Saccharomyces cerevisiae S288C: one gene and its partners. The protein of the gene in region 1 interacts with the protein of each later gene in a biochemical or structural test. Each region holds a gene or a part of one and is shown in the gene's direction. Other genes may lie near its edges. The genes, in order: MCM6, IME2 and SLD2.

Region 1 (12,033 bases):
ACTTTCTGTCTTTCTAATGGGTCTATAGATACTGTTTGATTTTGATACAGGCTTCGGGGAAACCGGGTCCTCGTCATCCTCTTCATCATTATTACGTTGGTAATGAGGAGTGGAGTATAAATCGGAAGAGGAGGAAGAGCTTGGTTCATCTGACGTACTAGGTGTATTTGGAGCTTTCGCATCAGCATTCGCTACCTGAGGTTGTGTGTTCTGGGCCTCGGAAACACTTGTTCTCGCAAAGATTGGGAAGTTTTTTTCGAAATAATTGTCCAGTGAACCCGATGAAGAGAGTCTACCTTCTTGCCTCACAGCTTTAGAACTGTTTCTAGATGAATGTGGTGAAAATTTTATTAGTGTAGATTGCGTATCAGTAGTTTCATAATCAGCACAAACTTTTGTATAACTCTGGGATAAAAGCATGTCGAAATAACGGCCCCATCTTTTCCTCAGCAAATAGCATGGTATACCAATGGAGTCACCTTCACTAGTAATAAATTCAAAATCAGAAAGAGGCTTCCCGTAAATCTCTAAAGCGTCTTTACCTAGAACCATGGCATACGGTGGAAACACAGATTGGATAGAAGACATTTCCAAGGGCGGAGCTATATATCTAATGTAGTTTTCAAATTGGGAGGTAGCTGATGAAGTGAAGCTCACCTTTTTTAATGGAGTATCCTTATGCTTCGCAAAATTTTCTATGGGTATTGGTAAAGACGAAGCTGAGATCTTGTGATGGGGTAATTGGATCGTCTTGTTAAAAATATTTACCAGCGGTAATCCAAAAGTGGAAAGATGGTCGAATCTTTGTACACTGGGTGAATAATAATCATCAGTCTTGGTACCCAACAAAATCGTCTGATGATGCGATTTCCAAACAAATACCCTCCAGAATCGATGTTTATTGATATCGCAGTCAGGGCAGGCGGTAGCGACTCGTGACCACTTTCCGGAGTTAATATCGTATATAAAACAATGAAAGTTAGAGGATTGGTAATTTGGATGAAACCCACCGATTATGATATTGAATCCAAAATAGTCACCTGTCGGTGCTAATAGCTCATACGGAACATTCAATAGTTTTTTCGGTAATGCCGGGTTTGAGGGCATTCTAATACCTTGCGATTCAGACAATAGCGGCAACGCCACTATAGGCGAATTCTCCTTTATCTTTGATGAATCCTTTCCGAGATATTCGTCTATTTGATCACTTCTCATATAGAATGCCAGCGCTGGAACGTTGGCCTCATTATTTTCAACTAAAATCGAAAAATTCTGATCCTTTGATAATGCTAATGGTATGCCATTGACATTTGTAGTGATTTCCATCGGTTGTTTGGGTATGGTTTCGGATTGCCAGCAATTCTGTGAGATGTTATAGATGTCTATTTTCTTGACCGGCTGATCCATGTTATTAAGACCTCCGACAATTATTAATTTCGTGTCTCTATTATCGTTATTTTCGTTCTTTACATGCATGGTATGGTTGAACCTTCTCGCTATTTGAGGGTCATCACTCAAAAGCGACCACTTCTTCGTGTTTAAATCCAGTTTCCACAACTCATTGGTAGCAATCAACTCATATCCGCTCTGAGGAGACACTGTGAGACCACCAAATATATATAAACAGCCATCTAAATAACATAAGGAATGGAATAGCCTCTCCTTGAGCGGAGATTCAAGGGATTTACCTTTCTTAATGTCCGTTCTAATCTCGTTTGTGTCATTATCTGCTTTGGCGCTAGAACTCTCTGCCTTTAATAATTCCTCTGTCCTTTGGTCAAAGGAGGTCTTGACTCTGTACCAGGTTCTAGACATCAAGTCTAAGAAAAACGTCTCCTTACTTATCCACTCGTTTAAATTCCTAAAAGAACTACCGTTGTTTTTTTCCTTTGCAAAAAAGAGAATAAGCTCCTTTTGTAATTGCATAGAATTTACAACTGGCAGGTTCAACGGGATGGTTAGACCACCATGTACAAATATATTAGACCTTGTTAGCGTCACCGCTGAACCTGTTCTATAGTCCAGCGTTAACCTTTTCCTGGCGCATTCATCAAACTCGTTGGAATCGGAAGTCAGTGGTAATGGCGGAAGCTTCAAAGGGTAGCAGAAGCAAGTGGATGGTTGTAATAAAGGCATACTACGCTAAAGCAGGTGCAGATTGTTACTTGTCCTTTGGTTTGCACGCGCGCTATGTTATCTTATATATATAGTAAAACAGAAAAGTCTCTAAAGCGCCTTCACCATGTAATGTTTGCAAGTGTGGCTATAGGCACAGGAAGGAGAAGAGTTCTCAAACAATTGTGGTAAACGGACGCTGTGAACTTGAAATAGACTTTGCCAGACTCTGCGCTACCAATTCATCAGAAAGCCTAATCTTGCTTTGAACTTCTCTTACACTCCACGGAGTCTGCCTTAGCCACACGCCAGCCCCTGTGAGCGTCCTCTTTTTTTTTTTTTTCAGAACTTTCTGCCGTGGCTCGCGAGATAGGCAATTCTATGTCCATGATATTGGGTTTTATACATATGTAACTAGTGTTATAAAATAGTTGACAACCAGGCCATGCCAAAAAGACAGAGTGCCAGAGGGTATATCTCGATAATGGTCTTGCTCTTGGTAACCCACGAAACGGCGGCCACAGACCACATCAGGCACAGCGCCATGACCACCAGTTTCACGAGCGACAGGACCCTCACAATCCAGCGATTTTGCTTTCCAATATGGTAGGCCAATGGAAGTAGTATCTGCGAGACTAAGGCATTCAGCACTTGTGGGAATAAGCAATACCCGGAAATGGAGATGTACGAAATCAGCGACACCCTCTGGTGTGGCTTGGTGAGTCTCAGATGCAATGCCATCACCAGCAAAATGAACCAACTAGACACAAATAGGCTCGAGAACAGCGACCGCGCATGCGATACAAATAGAGAATACAATATGATAAACGCAAGGGGCGCCCACAGGTCGCAATTGGCTGAAATGTCGTTATCAGCCGCCCCTATCCCGTCATCAGAGGGGCTAAAGAATGAGGGGAAATGCGGGTATACCACTTGTTTCAGTCTGGAATTAATCTCCACCACATCTCGCTTTAGTGTTTGCAGCACAGTCTCGTCGAGCGTCCCTCTGCTGCCTGAATTCTGCATAGTTCCGCCTATGTTGTCAGCAACACCCCCGGAAGCAGCCAAAGGTGCATCTGGTTCTATGAAGTCGGGCTCAATCGTAGTGTCTTCTCTTCCGTATGACATTTTGCCTGCCCTCTTGTGACATATCTTTCTACAAATATTGCTAAAACAGCTTCATTTGCTATTGTAAAAGGGGACGAAAAATCACTGTGAGAAAATCATCACTCCGGGTAATCCAATTTTCATGAAAAAAGACGCGAGGAAAGTCAGAAAAGTCGTGCAAAACAGCCTGAGAGATCGGGTCGCTTAAACATTTTGACACGAAACTTATAATGAAATAAAAAGCTATACTTGGTGAAACTGCAATCTTAATAGTATCCCTCCGCACAAAAATACACACGCATAAGGATGGCCTCATTTGCTACTAAGTTTGTCATTGCTTGCTTCCTGTTCTTCTCGGCGTCCGCCCATAATGTCCTTCTTCCAGCTTATGGCCGTAGATGCTTCTTCGAAGACTTGAGTAAGGGTGACGAGCTCTCCATTTCGTTCCAGTTCGGTGATAGAAACCCTCAATCCAGTAGCCAGCTGACTGGTGACTTTATCATCTACGGGCCGGAAAGACATGAAGTTTTGAAAACGGTTAGGGACACGTCGCACGGTGAAATCACATTGTCTGCTCCATACAAGGGACATTTCCAATACTGTTTCTTGAACGAGAACACCGGTATCGAGACAAAAGACGTGACTTTCAACATTCATGGGGTGGTATATGTGGATTTGGACGACCCAAACACCAATACATTGGATAGTGCTGTCAGAAAGTTGTCCAAATTAACCAGGGAAGTCAAGGACGAACAAAGTTATATTGTTATTAGAGAAAGGACGCATAGAAATACTGCAGAGTCGACCAACGATCGTGTTAAATGGTGGTCCATCTTCCAATTGGGCGTCGTTATTGCAAACTCTCTTTTCCAGATATACTACTTGAGAAGATTCTTTGAGGTCACATCTCTAGTCTAAGTAAAGCAGGAAAATGTAGTTCATATCTATTTACTTTTGCCTACATACGATTACATACACGATTGGATAACCTGAAGTCGCGAATAATTCTCGGTTTCATACTTTTTACCTTGATCCTTCCACTGTTTTTCCCTGTGCCAATTACATGTAAATAAATATATACATATATATGGTCCAGGCGCGCCATAAAACAAATACAGGTTGTAGCGAATCAAAAAATGGGAAATACATACGAAAAACTTGAAAGAAACAAGTACCACAGGACATGCTGTGGTCCGTTTTTCCCCAGAGCACTTTTATGTGGGACTCTTAGAAGGGAAATAGCTCTGTTCATATAGAACAAAAAAAGAATAGCCCTGTAGGGGGCTCGAACCCCTAACCTTATGATTAAGAGTCATACGCGCTACCGATTGCGCCAACAAGGCTAATTCGTTGGAAAACGTCCCCATTTCAGGGAAACATAGCTCACGATGTTAATAACTGATTTGTAGCCGAGCCACATTGTATCAACGCGTGATTAACACATGTTTGGAATATACTGTTGGAACAAGAATCAACTAGTGCTCATATTAGCAATATATTACTATATACGGTGTAAGAAGATGTCCACTATAGTCAGCCATATTCTTGATCTTACGAAAGGGAACTGTGATGTAAAATTTGTGACACTGTGACACCTTCTAGTGAAATATAGGGCATTACCAAAGTCACTAATGAGTAAAAATACCAATTACTGTCCGTAGTTCGTCAGATTAGAATCCACTATATTTTCTTTGATTGGGAGTTAACGCTGCATACTTGTCTTGGGTACTGCGTTAACCATAAATCACATAAGCGTCATTCATTATCGTACCTCTGGGTAAGTGTTTTTCAGGAGTTTTTATATATAATATGCTGGCCCCCAAGGCGGATGAGGACTGTATACGGTTTTGACGTTAAAGTGTTATATGAATCGCAGTCGCATACACTAGTGGACCCCTAGTTCCGCGATACGTAGTTGACCCTCAGTACAGAGATTCCCACGATTAACGGGTGTACTGCTCCTGACTAATGTAATTTTGAGTTCACCTGTTGATGTGGTGCTGATACTGGCACCAGTACTAATGTTTGGAAGAACTCCGTAGCATTAAGTGGAGAGATTAATCCGATACTGAGCTGAATAGTTGGTTTCACTCCCGCAAAAAGATATCAATACAGTTTGCTAACAACTTGGGAAACCCTGATGAGAAGAATTAGCGGTCATCCTGAGAAATAGGTGACCATTTAAATGGTCACTTGAATTCGATTTTCCAGTAAGGGAAGTGTCATTCGGAATCCAGAATATACCAGAAATAAGCAATTTTGCATGATAGTGCTGTTATCCTTTCTTGTGTTTTATACGATATCATACATCACCCCATTACGTTATTTATCTTGCATTTCAGTTTTTACTGGGTTTACCCTTTTCGCGATTTATATCATATTATCACCGCACATAATATACTAGTAACATTACTATTCGTCGACAAACAATAGCTTGTTTTGATTCCAGTTCTCATAACATTTGTGTACCTATTCTTTTGCCGTTCCTTCGCTATTTGGTATTGTCATCTAAGTTCGTCTATTAAATTTCCTTTTTAGGAAAAGCGCCTAATAGGCCTTTCTTGAAGCTTTTTTTTTTTCTTTCTTTAATCTACAATAATAACAAAATATTTCATTCTTAAGTGATTTACAGCGAGTATCTTACACTTCGCCACCGGTGGATAGGAAAAATAGACTTACCAAAGGTTAAAACTGGTTTTTTTCAATGTCATCCCCTTTTCCAGCTGACACACCAAGCAGTAATAGACCTTCCAACTCCTCTCCGCCACCATCGTCGATAGGTGCTGGCTTCGGAAGCAGTAGCGGACTCGATTCGCAAATAGGCTCTAGGTTACATTTCCCAAGTTCTTCTCAACCGCATGTCAGTAATTCACAAACAGGCCCTTTTGTTAACGATTCCACTCAGTTTAGTTCTCAAAGGTTGCAAACCGATGGTTCCGCGACTAATGATATGGAGGGAAATGAACCTGCCAGAAGCTTCAAAAGTAGAGCTTTGAATCACGTTAAGAAAGTTGATGACGTTACTGGTGAAAAAGTCCGTGAAGCGTTCGAGCAGTTTTTGGAAGACTTTTCCGTTCAATCCACTGATACTGGTGAAGTTGAAAAAGTTTATAGAGCTCAAATTGAATTTATGAAAATATATGACCTAAACACCATTTATATAGATTATCAGCATTTATCCATGAGAGAAAATGGTGCTCTAGCTATGGCTATCTCAGAACAATATTACAGATTTTTGCCTTTTTTACAAAAGGGTTTAAGAAGAGTAGTAAGAAAGTATGCACCTGAATTGTTAAACACAAGTGACTCATTGAAGAGATCCGAAGGTGACGAAGGTCAAGCGGATGAAGATGAGCAACAGGACGATGATATGAATGGGTCGAGTCTACCAAGAGATTCTGGATCATCAGCCGCACCAGGGAATGGGACATCTGCCATGGCAACGAGGTCAATAACAACTTCTACGTCACCTGAACAGACGGAACGTGTTTTTCAAATCAGTTTCTTCAATCTACCAACAGTTCACAGAATTCGTGATATAAGATCTGAAAAGATTGGTTCACTATTGAGTATATCAGGGACAGTGACAAGAACATCTGAGGTCCGTCCAGAATTATACAAGGCAAGCTTTACGTGTGATATGTGCCGTGCTATCGTAGATAACGTAGAACAGTCCTTCAAGTACACTGAACCGACATTTTGCCCGAACCCATCATGCGAAAATAGAGCCTTTTGGACATTAAATGTTACAAGATCCAGGTTTCTTGATTGGCAAAAAGTCAGAATTCAAGAAAATGCTAACGAAATACCTACAGGCTCCATGCCGCGTACGCTGGACGTCATTCTTCGAGGTGATAGTGTCGAAAGAGCCAAGCCAGGTGACCGTTGCAAATTTACGGGTGTGGAAATTGTAGTACCTGATGTTACACAATTGGGGCTACCAGGTGTGAAGCCAAGTTCAACATTAGATACTAGAGGTATTTCGAAGACTACTGAAGGTTTGAATAGTGGTGTTACTGGTTTACGCTCTCTTGGTGTTCGTGATTTGACATACAAGATTAGCTTTCTGGCATGCCATGTTATCAGTATTGGATCAAACATTGGTGCAAGTAGCCCTGATGCAAATTCTAACAACCGAGAAACTGAACTACAGATGGCTGCTAATTTACAAGCTAATAATGTATACCAAGATAATGAAAGAGATCAAGAAGTATTCTTGAACAGTTTGAGTTCAGATGAAATAAATGAGCTGAAGGAAATGGTAAAGGATGAACATATTTATGATAAATTGGTCAGATCTATTGCTCCAGCTGTGTTTGGCCATGAAGCCGTAAAGAAGGGTATCTTGCTTCAGATGCTCGGTGGTGTTCATAAGAGTACTGTAGAAGGTATTAAGTTAAGAGGAGATATCAACATCTGTGTTGTTGGTGATCCCTCTACTTCTAAGTCTCAATTTTTAAAATACGTAGTGGGATTTGCACCAAGATCAGTTTACACTTCCGGTAAGGCCTCGTCGGCTGCTGGTTTAACAGCTGCGGTTGTGAGAGATGAGGAAGGAGGTGATTATACAATTGAAGCAGGTGCTTTAATGCTTGCTGATAACGGTATTTGTTGTATCGATGAATTTGATAAAATGGATATTTCAGATCAAGTTGCCATTCATGAAGCTATGGAACAACAGACCATCTCTATTGCTAAAGCTGGTATTCACGCTACTTTAAATGCAAGAACATCAATTCTAGCGGCTGCCAACCCGGTAGGTGGAAGATACAATAGGAAACTATCACTGAGGGGTAATTTAAATATGACCGCACCGATCATGTCCAGATTTGATTTATTTTTTGTTATTCTTGATGACTGTAACGAAAAAATTGATACCGAATTGGCATCTCATATCGTTGACTTACACATGAAAAGAGACGAAGCCATTGAGCCGCCATTTAGTGCAGAACAACTACGTCGTTATATCAAATATGCACGTACTTTTAAACCAATATTAACGAAAGAAGCCCGTTCCTATTTAGTCGAGAAGTATAAGGAACTGAGAAAGGATGATGCCCAGGGATTTAGTAGATCGAGTTATAGAATCACAGTTAGGCAACTTGAAAGTATGATTAGATTATCAGAAGCTATTGCGAGGGCTAATTGTGTCGATGAAATTACTCCATCATTCATTGCAGAAGCTTACGATCTTTTAAGGCAAAGTATTATTCGTGTTGATGTGGATGATGTGGAAATGGATGAAGAATTTGATAACATAGAGAGTCAAAGTCACGCCGCTTCTGGAAACAATGATGACAATGATGATGGGACTGGGTCAGGTGTAATTACGAGTGAGCCACCAGCAGATATAGAAGAAGGACAAAGCGAAGCTACAGCTCGTCCAGGTACAAGCGAGAAGAAGAAAACAACGGTGACGTATGATAAATATGTGTCCATGATGAACATGATCGTTAGAAAGATTGCTGAAGTAGATAGGGAGGGTGCAGAAGAACTAACAGCTGTGGATATAGTTGATTGGTATTTATTACAGAAGGAAAATGATTTGGGTTCGTTAGCAGAATATTGGGAAGAGAGAAGATTAGCGTTCAAAGTCATAAAAAGGTTGGTCAAAGATAGGATTTTAATGGAGATTCATGGTACCAGACACAATTTAAGAGATCTTGAGAATGAGGAAAATGAAAATAATAAAACTGTTTATGTTATTCATCCAAACTGTGAGGTTTTGGATCAATTGGAACCACAGGATTCCAGCTAATTCAGTGCACTCTTGCGGATTTTCATATTTCGTTTCAAGTATCGTTCACGTTGTAAATTCCTATCGTGTGCATTTCTCTTTGTGGGAGAAAAATATCTTACATAACTTGGCTCTCAAATCAAGTTATAATTGTTGTATAAAGTTGTACTCTTAATGAAAAAACAAAATATTATATTTTGGCTTCCACTTGCAGTCTTTTACAAAAAGAAAAAATACTTCGAAATTTAAGCAATACAAAAATACGTACGTCCTTTTTTCACCTTATATATATTCTTCCAACGTATTTACCTCTCTATTTGGAAATACCAAATTCTTCGTATAAAGTATCACCTAATCTCTTCAGACCTTCAGTCAGTTTCTCAGGAGAGACAGCTGCATAGGTACCTCTGAAGAAAATTATGTTTGGATTACTGACTTCTTTAGATTCAGCGGGTTGAGGAGGTTCCGTCTCACCCTCACTCTTGAACCAAGAACCGGGAACCACTAAAACACCACGTTCAACCACTTTGTGGTAAAGACTCTGTTCTAGCTGGTAAGGGTCTGAGTTGTATTTTGTTTTAAACTCAGGGTGGACAGATGCGTCAATGTTCACGGTGAAAAACATACCTGCAATTGGAGGATTGATCACGAAAGCATCAGATTGTGGTAGATACTTGTAAAGGGCATCGATGGCACAGTCACGTTTCAAAGTGTATTCATGACGCAGGCCAAGCAACCAGTCCAAGTAACCCTTTTGACCCCACCTGGATAGCGTAGCGTTGACCAAAACTTGTGTAAAACCTGCTGGGGCTTGAATCGTCATTTCATGCAAACTCAAGTAAGGCTTCAAGATTTTGGATGAACCAGTAATCCAACCCAATCTTGTCCCTGGGGCCAAAACTTTTGAAAAGGAATCCATTCTAATAACACGGCCTTCTGTATCCAAGGAAAGGAAAGTGTTTGCCAAGGACTTCAAAAATTCGTCATGGTCCTGCTTTGGAGAACTTTGTGCCTTCTCTCTTTCCTTCAAGTCTTTGATGTAGGGATTCATTTGTAAGAAATAATAAGGTTCATCTTCCACAATTAGGAAGTCGTACTTTTGAGCGATCTTGTAAATTGCCTCCTTTCTATGGTCTGCAATGGAAGTACCAGTTGGATTTTGGCCCGTTGGAATAGTGTATAACAACTTTGGTTTAGGAGCACCAGGTGTCCAGTTTTCCATGACTTTAGCTAATTTTTCAGGAATGATACCATCAGCGTCAATTGGCACGGGGAAGGTAATGACACCTTGAGCCTCTGCAGAAGCCAATGAAGAGGAAAAAGAATGTGCCTCAACTAAGATGACATCACCTCGGTTACAAAAGACTCTTAAAGTAGATTCCCAGGCATTTGTGTTACCTGCAGTGGCTAAAACGTCCCAGTCCTTATACTTCAAATCGTGGATAATCTTGGTATGATCTCTAATGAAGTTTAATAGTTCAGGTTGACCAGCACTGAACCCGTATTGCAAAGCTCTTGACAAAGGAATATCGTTGGAAGGATTGGCACTTTTATCAGCGTAATCTTTGTTGACGGTGTATTTTATGCAATTCTGCTCGTCAATTGGAGCTCCAATACCCTGGGGAAAAGGAGGCTTGGGTGAATCTACAGATAGATTATCCCATGGGAAATAATCTTTTAATGGCAGGCCACCACCCAAAAAGATAATGTTAGGATCTTGGAAAAGATGGATGCAGGTTTTCAATGGGGATGGTTTACGAGCATTGGTTTCATCCGAAAACAAGTAAGAAAAGTCTTTTGATTCAGGTAAAGTCATGATAGTAACGATCGGTTGTCCTATTCAATGTCTGTATCAACTGCAGGGTTTAACTTAGTGGAATGGAAAAATAAGAAAAAGAAATAAGTTCTTAAAGATATAACCAAACCAAATATATAGTCTAGAGATGTGTATAGGAGGGTCTACAAGATAAGAAAAAAGATTGCGATACACATATCTTCAAATGAAATGCGCTTAATATTAGTCATAGATTGGACCTCGAGAAAGTGAAAAAGTGCAGAGTGAAAAATGTGATAAAAAAAGGAAAAAAAGACATCTAAGGTAACCCGGATGTTCTTCATTATTCCGGCGCAATTTAGTACTGTTCTTCTATCAATGGCAATTCAGAAGCCAGATTCTTGAATGAGGTGAAGGAGAACAATGGTTATAGGTTAATTAAGAGATTTTTGGATGGTGTATATGAGCCATGTTTAATCTTGGAAAAATAGTGAACCGGGAAAAAAATAAAGAAGAACTCCTCATAGGGGGCTCGAACCCCTGACATTTCGGTATCCTTGCTTAAGCAAATGCGCTTAAAAGCCGAACGCTCTACCAACTGAGCTAACAAGGATGAGTTCTTCGGATTTCTTCGATAATAGTTTTAGTTAAATATACATTATGTTCACATAATGCTATTATTTAATGCACATGTTAATGGACGGTAAACTACTTATCATTTATTGCAACAAATGAAAAGACACCACCCTAACAGCACGAAAAATGATGTTAATGTCTTGTATAGTATTGTCGGATAACTAACTCTCGTCTCAACAAAGCTTAAATAAGAGCTGAGAGATTGGTGAATTTTAAGATGATTGTAGGCATTTCATTGTTGATCAAGGCTACAATATTATGTATACAGAATATACTAAAAGTTCTCCTCGAGGGTAGAGGAATCCTCAAAGGGGAAGCGATATTTCTACATAATATTATTACGATTATTCCTCATTCCGTTTTATATGTTTCATTATCCTATTACATTATCAATCCTTGCACTTCAGCTTCCTCTAACTTCGATGACAGTTTCTCATACCTTATGTCATCGTCTAACACCGTATATGATAATATACTGGTAGTGTGACTACTAGTTTATAGACGATAGTTGATTTTTATTCCAACAGGATCATTTTGTTAGGTGAGGAATTGCGAGCTTTTTGGCTATAACTTTCAAGTTTTGTCACCAACATTTATATTTGCTTACTGCAGCCCGGAACCGAAAAACAATGTGGAAAAAGAAAAAAAAGTGGAATATTTTGAT
Region 2 (11,138 bases), on another chromosome or scaffold:
TGAAAATTTTGGAAGGTAGCTGATCTACGTTACCTTGTCCTTTTAATGTTTGGAACAGCTTACAAATCGTGAGGAGTGCTGAATGTTTTGCCTCTTTAGCATCTAAGTTTGAAAGAATGGTTTCCATGGCAGCTAAGATAATTGTTTTCTTTAAAGGCAAAGCTGTAGCAAATACAACTAATATGGTATGTGCAGCTATTTGACAATCCTTTGATTTAGAGGCTAAAAGTTTAGCAGATATTTCAAGTAAGATTGGAACAAGCTGATTCAGTTTTTCATCGTTGTTTGAATTGAAAGCAACAACGTTAATAAAGCAGCATGTTGTAAATAAAAGCTGGTTAGTATACGTTGCATTATGCTTAATACATTGATCCAAATAACTGGTATAAAGTTTCAGAAAATCCATGTCATTAAAGAGCTTTATCATGGTTAGCGCCGTTGGGGGCTTTTCACTTCTAACAAAATTCGACAAACAATTAAACAAAGGGGGCAACTTAATAATGCTGAGAATTCTCTTAAAGACAGGTGTTTGGTAGTAGTTGAGAGTGGACAAAAGCAGCATCTCTGTGTTTTTAACATGTATTTGAAAACGACGAACCAACCATTCTGTTGCATGTAGTGTAGGTGCTAAATACCATTTAGAAGAAGCCAATAGCAAGTAAGCATTGATAGCATTATCCAAATCTTTAATTTCTTCTTTTGTTTGGACATTTCTATCAAGAGAAATGGAAGACTCTGAAAAGAGTGTTCTTGAGAAAATGGCAAATTTTGGCTCAATTTGGCTCAATTCTTCAAGAGCCTTACTAGCGTTTTCAAAAATGAAATCGTAATCTTGTGTTGCAGCCGTCTTTGAGTTATAAATCAAAGAAGCAGAATGAAGTTTTTGTCTTCTCTTTCTATCCAACGCAACAGTAGCATTGTTGGAAGCAACTTGAGCTAATTGGTCACTCAACGAAGACATTTTCAAAGTTATTCGTACTTTGGTGGCCAGTTAGATAAGTCTGATTCTGAAAGGTAATAAAGAAAGTATTTGTTACACCTTCGAAAATATCTAGCTCATCGCTAACTGAAAATTTTTTTCTTTGCTTAACGCAGAAAGAAAAAAGAAAAAAAAAAAAGTCATGTGACTTGAATATTATTAATCTATGTATGTTATGATTATTGGCTATGAAACCATAAAATTGAAAAAAAGGATTCATAAGCTGATATGTTATTTGTACTTAATGCTATATTTATAATTTACTTTTGAAATTTTTCTTAGTGGGTCAAAGTCTTCTTTGATACTGAAGAATGACCCAATGGCAACACTTGGTCCATTGGTTAACAAGTTTCTAACGAAGTGGACCTTGTGAGAGCTTATAAACTGAAAAGACCAGTTTTCTTTTTACCAAAGGGGTAGACAAAGAGTGAAGAAGCAAATAGTCCCACAGAAATACCGACACAAACTTGAATCATTGTCATACCAAATGACATTGAGGACGATGGATCGGAGGTGCTTGTCGTAATGGTTTCATTAGCATTAACAATTGTATTTGCACTTTGCAACCCAGACAACAACGAATTTTGTGAAGCAATACCAGATGGCACTTGAACGAAGATTGCGGGAAGCATAGCTGATACCGCTAAACCTTTCCAAATTCTGGAATATAGATTACCTAAAACACCTATGACAAATGCAGCTAAGGCGGCAGTAAACTCTGTCGAATTCGCAAAATGCTTACCGGCCCAATATGTTACGACATAACCGGTGCAAGAAATGAAGACCATAACTGGCAGTTGTGAGATGTGTGCTTGATTTAATAACGAGATACTAATGGTAAACGCTGGAACGAAGAGGAACCTGAACCACGGAGAAATTAATTGAGGACATGAAATTTCGTTAGTGGCATTGTGATACATCCATCCAAACAAAGCTGAGCCCAATGTTATGCCAAAACCCAAAAACAAAGAATAAATAATGGCGTAGAACATACGGACCGCGCCAGCAACTAGGCTTCGACTTTGCAGTTCTAGTGCACCACACAGAATAATATAACCTGGCAGGATTAATGCCAATGAGCCTTGTGTAACTGCACCAAAGCAGATGTGAGAACGAGGGATAGAGCCAAAAGCTCTACCGCAGAAGCTAACGACAATAGATGCAGAAATTTCGAAGACGTTTGAATACATGTATGACTTTTGTGAAAGAATAAATTGTAATGACCCCACACAAAGCCCCATAAAAAATGAGATTGCCAGGTTTACCCAATCGCCACCAAAGGCATACGGAGTGACCATAGCGGAACAAAATGCATATAAAAGAACACACATCCAAGGTGGATATAGATTCGTGTCAGCCAAAATTTGATCGAGTAAAGCATTACCTTCATCGGCACCTAAGGTATCATGGACAACTCTTTTGTAAACGGCATGAACTTGATGCAGCTTCCAAAGGTTTAGACCTTGAGTACACCTAACCAATTGAACTTCGGAAGTTCTTGTTGTTGCATCACCAAATGAAACAATCATACAACCTGGAAGATACAAAACTGACCATCTATTTCAAGGACTCTAGAAGTCATAACCATATATTCTTCAAGCCTATGCGTCGGAGCACCATACATCATAAGAGCTCTACACATGCGTAGGATGAACCGGTGTCTTTGTAAAATGTCTGCAATGTGAACCGTAATTTTCGCTTCAGTTTTTAGTCTTTTCTTCAGTCTAGGCATTCTGCCTTTTTTAGCCTTGCCTTTTAAATTTTGTAATCTGCTACGCTTGGCAACTGGTACGTCTTTGTTTCCAGCAGTAGAAGAAATACCTTCATCATCTGTTGTTACAGCTTGTGAATCTGAAAAGATTGAGCTTGAATTTTGATCTTCATTTTGGTAAAGTTTCAATAATGACCCTAGTACTCCACTTTTCACTTGAGATGGAGGGGGTACGTATGTGGAGGTTTCAATAAACCCTTCGTTATCGTCGGATGAATTGTTTTCTGCATAATCATCAAAATGATCCACTGCAGGAGCCAGAAATGAATTTTTTGAACTTGAGCCTAACGTTTCGCCATCCGACGTACAATTTACGTCACCTTCTAATTTGAGAGCCTCCAGTTTTTCTTTATCGTCGCCCTCATGAACGTCTACGATTTTAGACGCATCAGCTAGATCGGATAAGGGAATTTCTTCATTACGGTTATTTTTTTCTATATCATTCTTCCCATTTTCATTTTCTGAAGGTATTGGTGCCAAGCCAGGGACCAAACCCCCTTGATTTCCAGTCAGGTTATTTATTATCTTCTTGATGAACGTCTCATCGTCTCCATCCTTACCATTGTTCCTTAAATGTGTGAAAGAAACTTTAGGCTTCCTCTTGTGGCGAGCAGGCCTATCTTCTTCATCTTGTCCATCTGTGCCCTTAGAATTATCGCTGGTTTCTGTAGATCTTGAAGACAAATCATTTTCTAGAGCATCCGTATCAGCAGTGAATCTTACATTTTTGTTATCATTATTAGAAATACCTAGATCACTGATGCTTTTACCACTTAAATTGCCTTTTTTGCTCTCGGCTGAATTGGAAGTGCGATGGTCACTACTATCTTCAAGATTCACTCCCGCTTGACTTTGCTCGGAGCTTCCCACCCGAAAATCTGACACAGGAGTGGTTGGTTTTTCATTTCTACCGTCCATTGTATAGCCTATCGGTTATTCGATCTTTTTTCTTTTGTTATTCTATATCTAAAAGATAAAAGTCGCACACCGCTAAGTAAGTAAGTAAGTGTTATATAAGATTTATTTAGCTACGTTCTCAGATATAGTAGGCTTAAAACAAACGTAAAACATAGTTATATATTAATATGCAATTCGGTTTATTTCTTTTTCAAGATTCTTCCGAATTTCGTCATATTGGGTTCGCAATTTTTGGCGATGGCTTTGCTTCGATATTTTTCGGATGAAAATAGTCAAAGGACACTAGAAACACGAATGGCGCGCTGATTACGGAGACGTCGGGCTAAGACAAAGAGGGTCCATTCGGCGTGCTGGTGGTACTGTGACAGATAAACCCAATGCCCCACTTTTCTCGAGGAGTTGAAACAAGCGGGACAACTGCTACGTCATAAAAATGGGAGTACCAAGGGAGGAGCCATAAGCCGGGTAAAATTTGGCGCTGTTTTTCTTAATCTAAAAATAGTTCAACAATAAAATTTGGGCTCCGCCCATCCAGACCAAAGCAATCTTCGGCCTTAACAAGCCAAAGGGAACGAAACCCAGACTCTACCATGCATTTCGAACATGTTGTAGCTAACTACACTGGTAACCCAGATACCTATTCTCTCAGTAGCTGTTTCACCAAGACTCCGCACTCATGGTAAGTAGAAAAAGAAAACTCTCACAAAAATCTGAGTGGCACAGCTTTTCCAAATACGCTTTTTAAACTTGGAGAAATAAAGATGTATTACCCGCTGGTGCCTTAAAATATCCTTTTCTCCGGTTGTCCAATAATTTATGTTACGGCGGCTATTTGAGTTTTTGTGGAAATCTCTATCATTAATAAATGTCAGCCTTGTGTCTTAAATGCAATTCAACAGGGAAAAGGCGCGAGACTTCGGCGGCAAAAAGCCACAGACAAGTGCTGGTTGCAAAGAGGTAAAGAAGTAATGTGTGTAATCAAATAGATATATTAAGGTAGCAACTCACCGGTCTGTCCATTTTCTTTTCCTGAATAACTTCTTCTGTCTTCACACATTCATTTCATTTTTATTTTCCAATATCACTCAACGAGAAAGAAGTTACAAGATCTATCTTTCAAAATAGTTTACAGTTACCTTTACTTTACCCTTTCCCTTTTCAGTTTGTTACCCCTTCTCCTAAAAGTTTTATTTTTTGGGTAAAGATATAAAGGACACTCCAGTCGGTTAAGGTGGCTGTCTAGAGAATATAAACCTGTATTTATTTACCAGGCTTATCAGAAAAGTTAATCGTGTTCTTAAATATTCATTGAAAAGGAACGTGATACAGACGTAATAAAAGAAGAGTACTAAGCTTAACTTAATAGGTCATTTATGGTTGAAAAACGTAGTAGACAGAGTTCCAGTAGTGGCTCAGAGTTCAGTGTTCCACCTGATGTCGATAACCCGCCACTTTCTATCCCTTTGAAGACTTTATCAGACAGATATCAGCTGATCGAAAAACTAGGTGCAGGATCATTTGGTTGTGTAACTTTAGCCAAAGCGCAATTTCCTTTATCGAACATATTGGGTAAACAACATGATATAAGGGGTACTTTAATGGATCAGCCTAAAAATGGTCACCAAAACTATATAACAAAGACACAAGGTGTAGTGGCTATAAAGACAATGATGACAAAACTGCATACACTCCAGGATTATACGAGGGTCAGAGAAATTAAGTTCATACTGGCAATCCCAGCGAATGACCATCTGATACAAATTTTTGAGGTCTTTATTGACTCTGAAAATTACCAATTACATATCGTAATGGAATGTATGGAGCAAAACCTATATCAAATGATGAAACATAGAAGGCGCCGAGTTTTTTCGATTCCTTCTTTGAAATCTATTCTATCGCAGATACTGGCTGGGTTAAAACACATCCACGAACATAATTTCTTCCACAGAGATTTAAAACCTGAAAATATTCTTATCACACCAAGTACCCAGTATTTTGAAAAGGAGTACATGAACCAGATTGGATATCAAGATAACTATGTCATTAAACTTGCAGATTTTGGTTTGGCACGCCATGTTGAAAATAAAAACCCGTATACGGCCTACGTTTCCACAAGATGGTATAGATCGCCTGAAATATTATTAAGAAGTGGTTACTATTCCAAACCTTTGGATATTTGGGCATTCGGGTGCGTGGCGGTGGAAGTTACTGTATTCAGAGCTCTCTTCCCCGGTGCTAACGAAATCGATCAGATATGGAAAATTTTAGAAGTTCTTGGTACACCTATCAAACGTTCTGATTTTGTTAATACAAACCACATCACAGCTCCACCACCTGGTGGATTTTGGGATGATGCCAGTAATTTGGTCCATAAATTAAACTTGAAATTGCCTTATGTAGAAGGTTCATCGTTGGATCATCTACTTTCTAGCTCCCAACTATCCGATTTATCTGAGGTTGTCAAAAAGTGTTTAAGATGGGATCCTAATGAAAGGGCAACAGCCCAAGAGCTTTGTGAAATGCCATTTTTTGAAAACACCGTGGCATCCCAAGTAGACGCAAGAGGCAATGTGACTAATACAGAACAAGCATTGATTTTTGCAGGTATAAATCCAGTAGCGACCAACACAAAGCCCATATATTTTAACTCTTCAACAAAATTGCCCGCAGAAACAGAGTCTAATGATATTGATATCAGCAACAACGATCACGATTCTCATGCTATGTGCTCACCAACATTAAATCAAGAAAAACTAACTTTGGTAGAATTTTTAAACGAATTCGTTGAAGAAGATAATGATGATCACTCAATACCTGATGTTGGAACAGATTCTACCATTTCAGATTCTATTGATGAGACTGAATTATCAAAAGAAATTCGTAATAATTTGGCCCTTTGTCAACTACCAGATGAAGAAGTCTTAGATCATTCATTATCGAATATTAGGCAGTTGACAAATGATATTGAAATTATAAATAAAGATGAAGCAGACAACATGGAACAGCTATTTTTTGACCTGGAAATTCCTGAAAAGGATGAGTTTCAGAGAAAACAACCATTTAATGAACATGCAGATATTGATGAAGACATCGTTCTACCATATGTGAACAACTCAAATTACACACATACAGATAGGTCACATCATAGAGGTGATAATGTTTTGGGTGATGCCTCTTTAGGCGATTCGTTTAATTCAATGCCAGATTTTACTCCAAGAAATTTCTTGATACCTACATTAAAAAAATCACGGGAAAAGTTCGAGCCTCATCTATCCAATTCAAACCAACATTTTGGAAATGTAACCTTCTAATAATTTGTCATTTGACTGACGAATCGTTAGGCACAGTTATATAGTTATATACACATAGACATACATATGTTCGCATATATATTATATTACTATGCATTCACCTAAATAGCTACTGCTCTATTAATACAGTGCTTTTTCGATGGCTTTAATTTAACTTATTAGACATTACTTTGCGTTTATTCCCCTCCAATATATTTTTATGTTTGTTTTTCTTGAACATTTTATGATTTCTTGCTCTTGGCGGCTACTGATTTTGTTAAGCAACTCATCAAGAGGTCAAAAAAAGTAGAACGAGATCTTTGTGTTCGGTTACCCGGCTCAGATCCTAACTTGGTATGTTTATTCGTATAAGTTACTGTTGTCCACAGGCAATACTCTGCAGAAAATTAAAACGGCATTAATGCTAGGACAACCAGAACTGTTACTACTGTATGTGCGATAGTTGATAACTGCAACATTATGCCCGGTATATTCTCAAAAAACCCTATTACTGCATACGAAGAAATCGCAAGAGAAATCTTTCGGTTTGGAAAAGCTCACTGTGAGGTTCCTTGGAGCCAATAGTAATACAGCACAATCCAAGGAAAAATCTGGCCTATATGCAAGGAAGGAGAGATAGTCAAAAGCATTCTTTCCCCTAGAAGTTGGTGCATATATGGCATCGTTAAAACATATTACCCCCAAAATTTCTTCTCTAAACGATGTGCTTGGCCTTTGTTTTGGTTTTTGATGTCGGTCGTTTGAGGCCCCTTGCGGAAAATCGAGATCGCCGAATGGCACGCGAGGGAAGGGAAATAAGGTTTAAAGGCACTGAAACAATAGGCAAGAAGTAGGCGAGAGCCGACATACGAGACTAATGTGTCCGCGTTTCTAAGGCCACTTTTCAATGAAACGGATATTGATATGCTAGTAAAAGGACGAGCTCAAGAGCGAAAATATAAGTAAAGAATTCGAGTGCACTTGTCTCCATGCAGCAAGATTTCATATGAGTCTTTTTTATCTTTTTACTTTTTACATTACACGATATGCACTTTATGAAAATTTAACGAGGTTGGAAGCCGGATAATCAACCAAAATCAGGCACGAAGGCACACTCGTATATGCATGTTGTTGAAACTCTGTTACGCTGAACTAACAATCACACATGTAGAGGTCACCGGGAAAAGTTGCGACCCCATGGAAGGTCGATCTCTTCGTTTGGCTTTGCTTGGCTGGCGGCATTGCGCTTCTTCGCTTATACCCGTCTCTTGACGCTCGAGCTCGTTCATTGAGATACCTTTATTCTTGCACATTTTCTGGCTTTTTTCGCTACTCGGGTACATGTAATCATGCACACAGAAGGTGCTGTAGGGTGAAAGTTCCTTTGTGCTGTCGTTTGTTTTTAATGCCAAACTTTCTGGTGATCAATAACCACCTCTTTTTCCTTCAGGAAACCTTATTATTGTTCTTGGATAGTACTAGGAAGTATATAAGGAACCTCGATTTTGGTATTGCACGGCTATACACATCTAAGAAACTTTGTATAAAAGGTGGCTACCCTATTCATAGCTTGATATCAATAGGCCATCTCATCACTTTTTATTGAAAAGGAAAGGAGGGAAATATATCTGATTCAAATTACTTGTTTGCTTCTCTTTAAGACAAAAGCATAGATAATTTCAGCGTGGAACGCCGGAATAAGATTGGTACCCTCGTCAGAAAGTTACAAATACCGCTTCATCTTCAAAATGACTTCACCGGAATCACTATCTTCTCGTCATATCAGGCAAGGAAGGACATACACAACCACAGACAAGGTCATATCGCGGTCGTCGTCGTACTCATCTAATAGTTCAATGTCTAAAGATTACGGCGATCACACACCCTTGTCCGTCAGCAGTGCAGCTTCAGAGACATTACCCTCACCTCAGTATATGCCGATAAGGACATTCAATACAATGCCTACAGCTGGCCCAACGCCTTTACATTTATTTCAAAATGACAGGGGCATTTTCAACCATCATTCTTCATCAGGCTCATCAAAAACGGCATCAACAAATAAAAGAGGAATAGCAGCAGCAGTAGCATTGGCAACTGCTGCCACCATACCATTTCCACTGAAAAAACAGAATCAAGATGATAATTCCAAGGTCTCGGTAACACACAATGAATCATCGAAAGAAAATAAAATTACACCCTCCATGAGAGCAGAAGATAACAAACCTAAAAATGGTTGCATCTGCGGTTCAAGTGACTCCAAGGATGAGTTGTTTATACAGTGTAACAAATGTAAAACGTGGCAGCACAAGTTATGTTATGCTTTCAAAAAATCAGATCCAATAAAAAGAGATTTTGTTTGCAAAAGATGTGACAGTGATACGAAAGTGCAGGTTAATCAAGTAAAACCAATGATATTCCCTAGAAAAATGGGAGATGAGCGATTATTTCAATTTTCATCCATAGTGACAACTTCAGCATCGAACACAAATCAGCATCAACAGTCTGTGAATAACATAGAGGAACAGCCCAAGAAACGTCAACTTCATTATACCGCCCCAACAACTGAAAATAGCAATAGTATACGGAAAAAATTGAGGCAAGAAAAACTGGTAGTATCAAGCCACTTTCTGAAGCCACTACTGAATGAGGTAAGTTCTTCCAATGACACGGAATTCAAAGCAATAACAATATCAGAGTATAAGGACAAATATGTTAAGATGTTTATTGATAACCATTATGATGACGATTGGGTTGTTTGTTCTAACTGGGAAAGCTCAAGGTCAGCTGACATCGAGGTAAGAAAATCATCAAATGAAAGAGATTTTGGAGTCTTCGCTGCAGATTCTTGTGTTAAAGGTGAGCTAATTCAAGAATATTTGGGCAAAATTGATTTTCAAAAAAATTATCAGACAGATCCAAATAATGACTATCGTTTGATGGGAACGACAAAACCTAAAGTACTTTTTCATCCACATTGGCCTTTATATATAGACTCTCGAGAAACAGGCGGATTAACAAGATACATAAGACGGAGTTGTGAGCCCAATGTGGAACTAGTAACGGTAAGACCGCTTGACGAAAAACCAAGAGGAGATAATGATTGTAGAGTTAAATTTGTTTTAAGGGCTATAAGAGATATTCGTAAGGGAGAAGAGATAAGCGTAGAATGGCAATGGGATTTGAGAAATCCTATTTGGGAGATAATAAATGCATCTAAAGATTTGGATTCCCTACCGGATCCCGACAAGTTCTGGTTGATGGGGTCAATAAAGACTATTTTAACAAATTGTGATTGTGCATGTGGGTACTTGGGCCATAATTGTCCAATAACTAAAATCAAAAACTTTTCTGAAGAATTCATGAGGAATACGAAGGAATCCCTATCTAATAAATCTTACTTTAATACAATAATGCACAACTGTAAGCCATAAACGAAATTTTAAAATTAATAGTATTCATTTTAATCTTTTTTGAAAGCTTAATTTTATCATCATAATTTTTCTTCCAAAACTTCAATCTTGGTATTTTTTTTCGCATTGGTCTTCATTTTTTTTCTTTTGTTTTTAGCTTTAATGTTGAAAGCGTGAATATCAAAACACTTTTATAATAAATCACCACTTTGTAACTATAGAGAACAATTCATGCTTTATTTATAGATGCCACGATTAAGCATCAATCATTAGTTGAGAGGATCCTTAACGTTAAAATCCACCGCACTTTTCCTTTCAAAAAGCTGCATTGTTTCCATAATTCATTTCATGGCAGGTTAATGACTTATTTGATATGAAGAGTGAGGTTCTTATCAAATGAAATTCCTACATATGAATTTTTTAAAAGAGAGTTTTTCGTTTTACGATATTTATTTACTTCATCATCGTTTATCATTTTTCACGTAGCAAATTTTGAAGCTTCAACTTATAACTCATTTGCATCCGATTCACATATTTCAGCTGACTATAAATTTGGCAACAGCTTCGTGACTTGAGCATAAGAAAAACATAGACTTGTTGGATATAAAATATGGCTCACAGGGCTTTCATACAGGTTATAATCACAGGAACTCAAGTTTTTGGAAAAGCATTCGCCGAGGCGTATAGACAAGCGGCTTCACAATCAGTGAAACAAGGTGCTACAAATGCATCTAGAAGGGGAACAGGAAAAGGCGAATATGGTGGTATTA
Region 3 (10,218 bases), on another chromosome or scaffold:
ACCTCAATTTTCTTTCATCTTGGGAAGTTATATAATCTGAATGTTTTATGCCTAAAGATTCATCTGAATGATAGGTTATGGAATATTTACTTAATGATGGGGTTGCATCGATCTTGGACTGTAGTAGTTGTACCAAATGTTTAGCAAGCGTTGTCTTACCACTACATGGGTATCCCGTAAAAAGCACCAGTGGCATCTTCTTACTAAATTGCCTGTTTAGTTTTTTCAAAAGTTTTACAAGGTCCCTTTACCCTCATTCTGATACGTTATTGTTCAAGTTTCACCTGTTCATCAAGTATTCTTCATTTCTTTTTCCATCGCGATGACGATGACAAAACGGCAAAAAGTCAAAGAAAAAGAAAAAAAAAGATTTTTTTTCCATCATATGCAGAGAGAATATGTCCAAGCCAAGCGCAGTGTGCATGTATGCTGTTTTTAGCATATCGGGTGTGCGAAAGGAATGACATAATGATTTGCAACTAATATTTCCTTATATAAATATGCTTCTGGATATGAGTCTCATGAAACAAGTTCAGTAATTGCTTGTTTTACCCTTACTTTTTTCTTGGTTATGACTTGTGTACATAATAAATTGCCTATTTTCCCAAATTGTGTCCTTTTTCCTTTCCGGTTGGTATGAGATATTTCTTTTCAAAAATCAAAAGAAAACAACAAAGGGTTGATATTATGTAATGCAATACCTAGAATCGGGAAAAACTTGTTTGTCGTACCAAGAGAGGCAGCACTGGCGTGCCTTGATTTAATATAACTCCTGAGATAGTGGGGGTTACATGAGTTGTACAGCATAAGACTCCCTCTCCCCAGTTCTGTTCGTATATGTCGGGCTTGCTTGCGAAAGCAAGGGGTTCAATAAACAGAAAACAGAGTTTTTGGATAAAGTTTAAACAACGGAAACAGAGCAACAATGAAGGAGAGAATAAGTATCAATTGTGTAATTCTGTATACCGTAGTGCACAGTACGCTGTGCGCAACTCTTGCCTAAAAAATCTAGTTATCAAGCGGGGTGAATATGCTACAATGCCTCTTTTACGTTGTACTCTATCAAGGGATGATAGCAGTGGCACATATTGATTGATACGACTTTTCGCCGCGCGGTAGGCGAAAAGCAAAGAAAACTACAGTAATATCCAGAAATAGATGCATTTTATGTGCGAAATAAAACTCATGCTGAAAAAAATAGTAATAATTAATAGGGTAACGAATAGAATGCAAACCTTATCACGTGAAAGAGAGAACAATCATAAATGATTTAGTGCGTAGGTCCAGATTTGCGAAACACTGCGGAAGGCGAGAAAAGAATTCGAATATGAAGTAGGTAGAAGCAGAGGTAGGGCCGCTATTTAAAGATATACTTTTTCTGTACGGGCCGGTGACTTCGCAGTAGTGATGTACTATGAGATCACTATTTTGCCGGAAACTGTAGGCAAAAACCGTTTATGTCTTTTTTTCACCTTACGGGATAACCTCTGCTGAGAATTTCCAAAACTAGGCATGGATGATTGCCGGAATTTGAAACCCGGGCCCCGGAGGTTGATCGCACGGCAAATACATAAGAACCTTCTCCGCAATACGGGCTTTCCTCAATTTTCTTGGCCAAAAAGCGAGTCGGCCCCGAGCTACAAATCGGGAACAACGGAGGAATAGAGCGACAAGTTGATTCGGTCGTGCAGCCCGGAAAAAAAAGGCTGTCCTGCGGGCTTTATTCACTCCAATGCCGCTGAGAGGAACACGCGTTTCGTGGGCTTTGGACCACTACCCCGGCGTTCAGAGAAACCCCCCGGGGCAGGGGTCCGAAGTCTAAAAGTTTAATCCGGAAGTAGCGACGGGGGGGAAGCCCGCCGCGCACAGATGGCCAGCACAACGGAGCGGGGCCGAGGCGGCAAACGAGGTTAAGCCCGCTGAACCTGAAAAAAAAAACGAAAATTTTCTTTCATCAAGGACTAAAGTTTTCTTATGTTACGGATCTTGCACGCGGTAAGCAATGGCCGTAGCCTTTTCACAGTTGCTTCCAAGTGTCATGTATCGATTTTGCAGATTGTTCTAAAAGTAAATGGATTGCTATTTTCTTTCCGAGACTACTCTAAAAAAATTTATTGAGTATGAGATCGTTTTTAGATAAATTATATATATTGTAAAGCTATTAACTAATCTCCTATATCAATTTCTTCTTGCTTAACCCCGTGTGGTTGTTTAGGTCCATCTCCTTTTTCCTTTTAATTTTTTTACCTTTATTAATTCCTTCACCTCTCTAAACCCCAGTTTTATATCGTATATGCTATCTACAGGTCCACTTTACACTTAATAATATAAAAATACTACTATAAAGGAACCAGAAAAATAAAAAAGGGTCATTATTTATTTGAGCAGATCATTATCAAACGCATAGGAAGAGAAAAAACACAGTTTTATTTTTTTTCCACACATATTTATTGGTCTCCTAGTACATCAAAGAGCATTTTAATGGGTTGCTGATTTGTTTTACCTACATTTTCTAGTACAAAAAAAAAACAAAAAAAGAATCATGACCGCAAAGACTTTTCTACTACAGGCCTCCGCTAGTCGCCCTCGTAGTAACCATTTTAAAAATGAGCATAATAATATTCCATTGGCGCCTGTACCGATCGCCCCAAATACCAACCATCATAACAATAGTTCGCTGGAATTCGAAAACGATGGCAGTAAAAAGAAGAAGAAGTCTAGCTTGGTGGTTAGAACTTCAAAACATTGGGTTTTGCCCCCAAGACCAAGACCTGGTAGAAGATCATCTTCTCACAACACTCTACCTGCCAACAACACCAATAATATTTTAAATGTTGGCCCTAACAGCAGGAACAGTAGTAATAATAATAATAATAATAACATCATTTCGAATAGGAAACAAGCTTCCAAAGAAAAGAGGAAAATACCAAGACATATCCAGACAATCGATGAAAAGCTAATAAACGACTCGAATTACCTCGCATTTTTGAAGTTCGATGACTTGGAAAATGAAAAGTTTCATTCTTCTGCCTCCTCCATTTCATCTCCATCTTATTCATCTCCATCTTTTTCAAGTTATAGAAATAGAAAAAAATCAGAATTCATGGACGATGAAAGCTGCACCGATGTGGAAACCATTGCTGCTCACAACAGTCTGCTAACAAAAAACCATCATATAGATTCTTCTTCAAATGTTCACGCACCACCCACGAAAAAATCAAAGTTGAACGACTTTGATTTATTGTCCTTATCTTCCACATCTTCATCGGCCACTCCGGTCCCACAGTTGACAAAAGATTTGAACATGAACCTAAATTTTCATAAGATCCCTCATAAGGCTTCATTCCCTGATTCTCCAGCAGATTTCTCTCCAGCAGATTCAGTCTCGTTGATTAGAAACCACTCCTTGCCTACTAATTTGCAAGTTAAGGACAAAATTGAGGATTTGAACGAGATTAAATTCTTTAACGATTTCGAGAAACTTGAGTTTTTCAATAAGTATGCCAAAGTCAACACGAATAACGACGTTAACGAAAATAATGATCTCTGGAATTCTTACTTACAGTCTATGGACGATACAACAGGTAAGAACAGTGGCAATTACCAACAAGTGGACAATGACGATAATATGTCTTTATTGAATCTGCCAATTTTGGAGGAAACCGTATCTTCAGGGCAAGATGATAAGGTTGAGCCAGATGAAGAAGACATTTGGAATTATTTACCAAGTTCAAGTTCACAACAAGAAGATTCATCACGTGCTTTGAAAAAAAATACTAATTCTGAGAAGGCGAACATCCAAGCAAAGAACGATGAAACCTATCTGTTTCTTCAGGATCAGGATGAAAGCGCTGATTCGCATCACCATGACGAGTTAGGTTCAGAAATCACTTTGGCTGACAATAAGTTTTCTTATTTGCCCCCAACTCTAGAAGAGTTGATGGAAGAGCAGGACTGTAACAATGGCAGATCTTTTAAAAATTTCATGTTTTCCAACGATACCGGTATTGACGGTAGTGCCGGTACTGATGACGACTACACCAAAGTTCTGAAATCCAAAAAAATTTCTACGTCGAAGTCGAACGCTAACCTTTATGACTTAAACGATAACAACAATGATGCAACTGCCACCAATGAACTTGATCAAAGCAGTTTCATCGACGACCTTGACGAAGATGTCGATTTTTTAAAGGTACAAGTATTTTGAAATAGGCATGTTGCAATAAAACGAAAACAACTAAAAATCACGAAAACAAAATGATATTATACAATAAAAAATTCTTATTATGGGTAATGATAGTATTCTTCGCCTGCTTAGGCGTCCTTTTCCTTCAACAACAAAAATTCCAAAAAAAAAAAGTAAAAAAACAAAACTTTGATTGTTTTTTAATGATGTTAATGATTTTTTTTTTCTTTCTTTATCATAAAAAAAAAGTTAAAATGAAAAACAAATATGGGTCTGGAAGGCCATTATTTTTTTTTTATTTATATACCGTTTCTGGTACTTAGTTATTTATTCTCATACATACACTATATTCAAATTACCTAAGAGCATTTTCACATATCCGTTTACTTTCATTTTTTTTTTTTTTGCTTCCTTTTTACATATCTTCCGTATATCACATCACGTTTACGCGTATGGTGAAACACGTCAAGAGAAAAATGATAAAATCAAATTTTGATTTACATCAGGCTCCACAGGACAGGGAAATCTATCTAGTGAGGCGATAACTGTAGTTCGATGTACTCATTTGAACTGGACAAATTGAAAATTGAGCTGAAAACATGGGAGCATGATTTCATTGATAAAAATAAAAGGGAACCCACAAGGGATGACATCAAGAGCCTGCGGACTGTTCGGCAGATGTATAAACAATATTCCACACTGAAGAAGAAACAATCTTTGCAACGACAAAAAGTTGACACTCAAGAGTCGGTTGAACTCCCGGCACATAAAAAAGACCACGACGAAGTCGTAGAGATAGGCCCTACTCCCCAAGTTTACGGTAAGGCGATTAGTATCTTTGACATGAATTTGTCGCCTATAAAGCCTATATACATGACATTCACAAATAATATTGATGTTAACAATGATAACTCCAAGACAATTTCTAATGAATCTTCTCCACGAAAAACTATTCTCCTAAAATCGTCGCCTGCAGATCGTACGTTAGTGGCGGAACCAATATCCAGTGTGAAACGCCAATTAAACTTTCAAATGCTAAACGCTTCTTCTACACGTACTCCGACTTCATCACCATGCAAGAATCGCAATGGGAAGTTGGTAGAAATCAAGAAATGTAGTCCAACTATTAATCCTCCACTAGAATCTGGCAAACCATCGGGGTATTATGGACCTAATTCCCCGCTAAAATTGGATGAAGAAAACATTCACCTAAACATCTCACTTAATTCAAGCACTAAACGCCGGCTTCAAATAGCATATCCATCTTTACAGAAGACTCCCTCAAAGGATCAAGCGGATATTTCAACTTCATTTAGTCCGTCTCCACTCATTAGAAGACCACTGACGAAATCCCTGATAGAATTGGCCAGGGAACATACTGAAATTGTAAAAGAATTTGGTGTCTTACAGGAAGAAGATATTGAAGAGGAAGAGGAAGGAGAAGAAGGCGAGAATGGTTACGATGAGAAAAACCACGAAGACGACTTTGGGCTAGAAGATGAACTAATTAGACCAAAAGTTGTGAAGGACATATTTCAAGAGGATGATGATAATGATGATAGCCAAGCAAGGGAAGATACCTTCATAAGAAAGAGACCCAAAAGAAGAAAGGTTATCAGAAGATTACGAGACAATGATCCAGAAACCGAGACCGCAGGTTTTGAGAGAGATGTCCATAAGGAGCTGGTGAAACTCAAAAGAAGGAAAGTGGCAGAATTTTTGGGATCCACCTCACAAATCTCTGATACTGAATTTGAACATGATCCGGAGGCAAGCAGCGGCGTTGTAAGCTCAGAGCAAAAGCCTACGGCTAAGCGAAAGGGTAGAAAGAAGTATAATCTAGTGAGCAATAACTTCAGAAGACTAAAACTGCCAAAGAAAAACCGATTCTCTAATGGACGATGGGGAAGAAGGTGAGCGTGATGGCGTAAATAATACAAACATTTGTAATTTATAGAAACCTATTAAGTATTCAGTTAGATTCCTTCAGCTGCATGACGTATAGTTTATATGGACATCATACGTATTTTTATCAATATAGAGACTAGCATGTTTTTACACTTTTTATTTTTGTTGTTCAATTAGGGGCCTCGTCCATATATGTATATATATTACATAATCTGCAATCATCAATTAGGGGAGGAATAATCGGCAGAGGTATAAATACAAAATTTAAAACAATTCAAGTGAATGAAAAGGTGAACCAACAAACAGAATATTACCACGTATCAAGGAAAAACTAATAATAGTATATTGGCGCATTTAGCAGGATGTTCTGGAAAAAGGATCCCACCGTCAGTTGGGAAAGAAAAAATATCAATGACATTGATTTTAGTCGTTTTAATGTGGCCATAATTGGTGGCACAGGTGGACTTGGACGTGCAATAAGTAGAGAGCTGGCCCAAAGAAATGCCAGGGTTACTGTTGTCGGGCAAACTTTTAGGGACGAGGACCTAAAAGATAAAATTAACTTTGTCAAGGCTGATTTAAGTTTAGTGTCAGAATGCAAGCGTATATCTCATAGTGATGAAATTCCCTACGAGGAGTTAACACATCTGATTTTCACTACGGGTATTTTTGCATCACGCCAGAGACAAGCTACAAGTGAGGGTTTGGAAAAAGACATGGCAGTGAGCTATTTGAGTAGATACATTATCTTCCATGATGTGGCGAAGCGATTAGGAATTAGTAGGACAAAAAAAGACGATTTGCCAAAAGTTTTCATAGCAGGGTTTCCAGGAAATGGTCAGGTGGGAGACCCAGATGACTTGAATTCTGATGAAAAGAAGTATAGTGCCTACGCTACACATATGAACACTGTGGCAGCCAATGAAAGTCTGGTCATAGACGCTAAAGACAGATACACGAATATAGATACTTTCGGTTTGAACCCTGGGCTGATCAAAACGAACATTCGTAATAATCTTCTTGGCAGTGACACCTACCTCAGCCGCATTACAGAATGGATAATCAGCTGGACCTGTCAAAGCGCAGAGACGTATGCGAAAACAATATGCACCCTGATTGCGAGCCCCGCTATCGAATCACGCAGTGGTACAATGTTCAGCAACAAAGGCGATGCTATTTTACCTTCGCCTGGTTTGACCAAAGATGTTGTTGAGAAGTTTATGGAAAATTCGGAACTTCTAGTTGAAAAGGCCTTGCGTAATCAAAGTCCTTTCACTTCCAGTAACGAATGACTTGCTGTAACTAATTGGTTTATATTTAAATATTTCACTTTTTAAAGGGCGTTTGCATGCGACCATCGTCGATGATTCATATTGTTCGGATGCGGAAGATGGCTTCCATGAGTTTTGCACGCCGTCTCATGTGATTGTTGGAGTCATAGCTCGCATATCTTCCTATTGTCAGATGTAATATCGACGGAAATGGCATCTTGGAGTATGGAAGCACTATTCTGCTTTGCTCCAATATTTAGGATGCCGCATTTTTCATATTTTTTTTTACATTTTTCGCTTACGTATATAAATTGCTAGCAAGTATTCGCTCTCTCTGTCTTGGTTATCTAATTGCTAACCGTCGCAATTGAAAAGAAAAAAAAAATACAGAATAGACGATAGCGGATTGAACGATAGCATACTATTGAGTGCGTTTTCCCTTCTCATTTGAAAATTACTATCCGTTTTTCACTGCCGAAAGACTTGATGTTGAGGACGAGGCTTACTAATTGCAGTCTATGGAGGCCCTACTACACGTCATCGCTTAGTAGAGTACCAAGAGCACCTCCAGATAAAGTCTTGGGGTTATCTGAACACTTCAAAAAGGTAAAAAATGTTAACAAAATTGACCTGACCGTAGGAATATATAAAGATGGTTGGGGCAAAGTGACGACGTTTCCCTCCGTTGCAAAAGCTCAAAAATTGATTGAATCTCATTTAGAGTTGAATAAGAATCTTTCATATTTACCAATAACAGGTTCCAAAGAATTTCAGGAAAACGTTATGAAATTTTTGTTCAAGGAATCATGTCCGCAGTTTGGGCCATTTTATTTAGCCCATGATAGAATCAGCTTTGTTCAGACTTTGAGTGGTACAGGCGCCCTAGCTGTAGCAGCTAAATTCTTGGCATTATTTATTTCAAGAGATATTTGGATACCTGACCCATCATGGGCAAATCATAAGAACATTTTTCAGAACAATGGTTTTGAAAATATTTACCGGTATTCCTATTATAAGGACGGTCAGATAGACATCGACGGATGGATTGAGCAATTGAAAACCTTTGCATATAACAACCAGCAAGAAAACAATAAGAACCCACCTTGCATAATCTTGCATGCGTGTTGTCACAACCCTACAGGTCTCGACCCAACTAAAGAGCAATGGGAAAAGATTATAGATACTATATATGAGCTAAAAATGGTACCCATTGTTGATATGGCTTATCAGGGTTTAGAGTCTGGTAACTTACTAAAGGACGCATATTTATTGAGGCTATGTCTCAATGTAAATAAATATCCAAATTGGAGTAACGGTATCTTTCTTTGTCAATCTTTTGCCAAGAACATGGGCCTTTATGGTGAACGAGTTGGTTCCTTAAGCGTTATCACGCCGGCAACTGCGAACAATGGAAAGTTCAACCCTCTACAACAGAAAAACTCATTGCAGCAAAATATTGACTCCCAATTAAAAAAGATTGTCAGAGGTATGTATTCTTCTCCACCAGGATACGGTTCTCGTGTGGTAAATGTAGTATTATCAGATTTCAAATTGAAACAGCAATGGTTCAAGGATGTTGATTTCATGGTTCAGAGATTGCATCACGTCAGACAGGAGATGTTTGACCGTCTAGGGTGGCCGGATCTTGTAAATTTCGCACAACAGCACGGTATGTTTTACTATACAAGGTTTAGTCCAAAGCAAGTCGAAATATTGAGAAACAATTACTTCGTCTATTTAACAGGTGATGGTAGATTGTCGCTTAGCGGAGTCAATGATTCGAACGTTGATTACTTATGTGAATCTCTTGAAGCAGTCTCGAAAATGGACAAACTCGCATAATTTTTTCACCTTACAGTTCACCTTTGTCTTTATTTTTTTATTACTTTTCCCTTCTCATTTTGCCACACAATAATTTATAGAATATAATAATTTTTTGTAATAATTAATAAACCTTTTTTTTATCTACTCTATATACACTTTTCAGATAACTAGATTGGATTAATTCGTGATCGAACTAGTTATTAAATTTTAAATGAAAAGAAAGCTAGCGCTAGCCAACTATTTTAATTACGGTGGCAGTGCATCATATCCTTACATTTCATTTTAGGTTTCCTATGTTTTCTTCTTTCAAATCATTTCCTGCCAAAAATTTTTTTCAGTTTCCTACCGAATTTACTGTGACCGTGACGGTCATGCGACTTATCTTTTATAGCTGCATCATCGTTATGAAGCTTGTGTATCTCTCCATTTTTATCAATGATAGTCACCGGAACGCTTAATGGTAAGGCTGTAGGCAGGTCAGGATTTGATGACTCCAAAGTGGCTGTTCCACCAGATATGTTCCTATTTGACAATTGGCTTTTATTTCCGAATAATGAAAACCGGTGGCCTTCTGTACCAGCTTCGCTTACGTCATTAGTGTTCATGGATGATGCAGTGTAAGGGGAAGAATCATCGTTGTTGCAGCTCTTTTTATTTGCTAATATTGGCATATCGTTTTCGTTGGTCTTATTTTTGAAGTTCGTCATGGGATTAACTATCTCTGTTTCGTTCGTGGTATGAGTAGAATGACTTGTTCTCCTTTTCAGCGGAGAGGGCAAACCAAAAGTCCATGATTTTCTTGAGACATGACCTCCTTTTTCCTTCTTTTCTTCCACATCCAGGTTCTCTGCTGCTGTGGCTGTAGCATTCTTTGTGATAAGTGGCTCTCTCAAAGACATGCTTCTAAATCCTAGGTTATCCTTCGCAGGTCTTTCCTTCTCAAAACTAGACTTCCTGGCGGGGGGTTCTTTGGGGTAGAGTGCACTATTATTTTTATCAATGTATAGAGGGACATGATCAGGCAATCGT

The links.
Region 2: of the proteins of MCM6 (region 1) and IME2, one has a biochemical effect on the other in vitro, tested with the Saccharomyces cerevisiae proteins (one study listed by BioGRID).
Region 3: the proteins of MCM6 (region 1) and SLD2 form a complex in vitro, tested with the Saccharomyces cerevisiae proteins (one study listed by BioGRID).

Annotation. Positions count from the first base shown.
Region 1 is NC_001139.9:114,801-126,833, reverse strand, and holds MCM6 (MCM DNA helicase complex subunit MCM6), read left to right. Parts: upstream 1-5,926; coding exon 5,927-8,980; downstream 8,981-12,033. Other genes in the region: MDS3 (Mds3p), read right to left, coding at 1-2,136; YIP4 (Yip4p), read right to left, coding at 2,536-3,243; EMP24 (Emp24p), read left to right, coding at 3,529-4,140; ARO8 (bifunctional 2-aminoadipate transaminase/aromatic-amino-acid:2-oxoglutarate transaminase), read right to left, coding at 9,273-10,775. UniProt on the Saccharomyces cerevisiae protein: Acts as a component of the MCM2-7 complex (MCM complex) which is the putative replicative helicase essential for 'once per cell cycle' DNA replication initiation and elongation in eukaryotic cells.
Region 2 is NC_001142.9:216,349-227,486, forward strand, and holds IME2 (protein kinase IME2), read left to right. Parts: upstream 1-5,041; coding exon 5,042-6,979; downstream 6,980-11,138. Other genes in the region: snoRNA-binding rRNA-processing protein UTP10, read right to left, coding at 1-961; pheromone-regulated protein PRM10, read right to left, coding at 1,357-2,508; YJL107C (uncharacterized protein), read right to left, coding at 2,505-3,668; SET4 (Set4p), read left to right, coding at 8,707-10,389; import motor complex subunit PAM16, read left to right, coding at 10,979-11,138. UniProt on the Saccharomyces cerevisiae protein: Protein kinase which is essential for the initiation of meiosis and sporulation.
Region 3 is NC_001143.9:229,685-239,902, forward strand, and holds SLD2 (Sld2p), read left to right. Parts: upstream 1-4,741; coding exon 4,742-6,103; downstream 6,104-10,218. Other genes in the region: KTI12 (Kti12p), read right to left, coding at 1-196; transcription factor HAP4, read left to right, coding at 2,543-4,207; YKL107W (putative short-chain dehydrogenase/reductase), read left to right, coding at 6,457-7,386; YKL106C-A (uncharacterized protein), read right to left, coding at 7,463-7,582; aspartate transaminase AAT1, read left to right, coding at 7,852-9,207; SEG2 (Seg2p), read right to left, coding at 9,501-10,218. UniProt on the Saccharomyces cerevisiae protein: Has a role in the initiation of DNA replication. Required at S-phase checkpoint. Also required for the proper activation of RAD53 in response to DNA damage and replication blocks.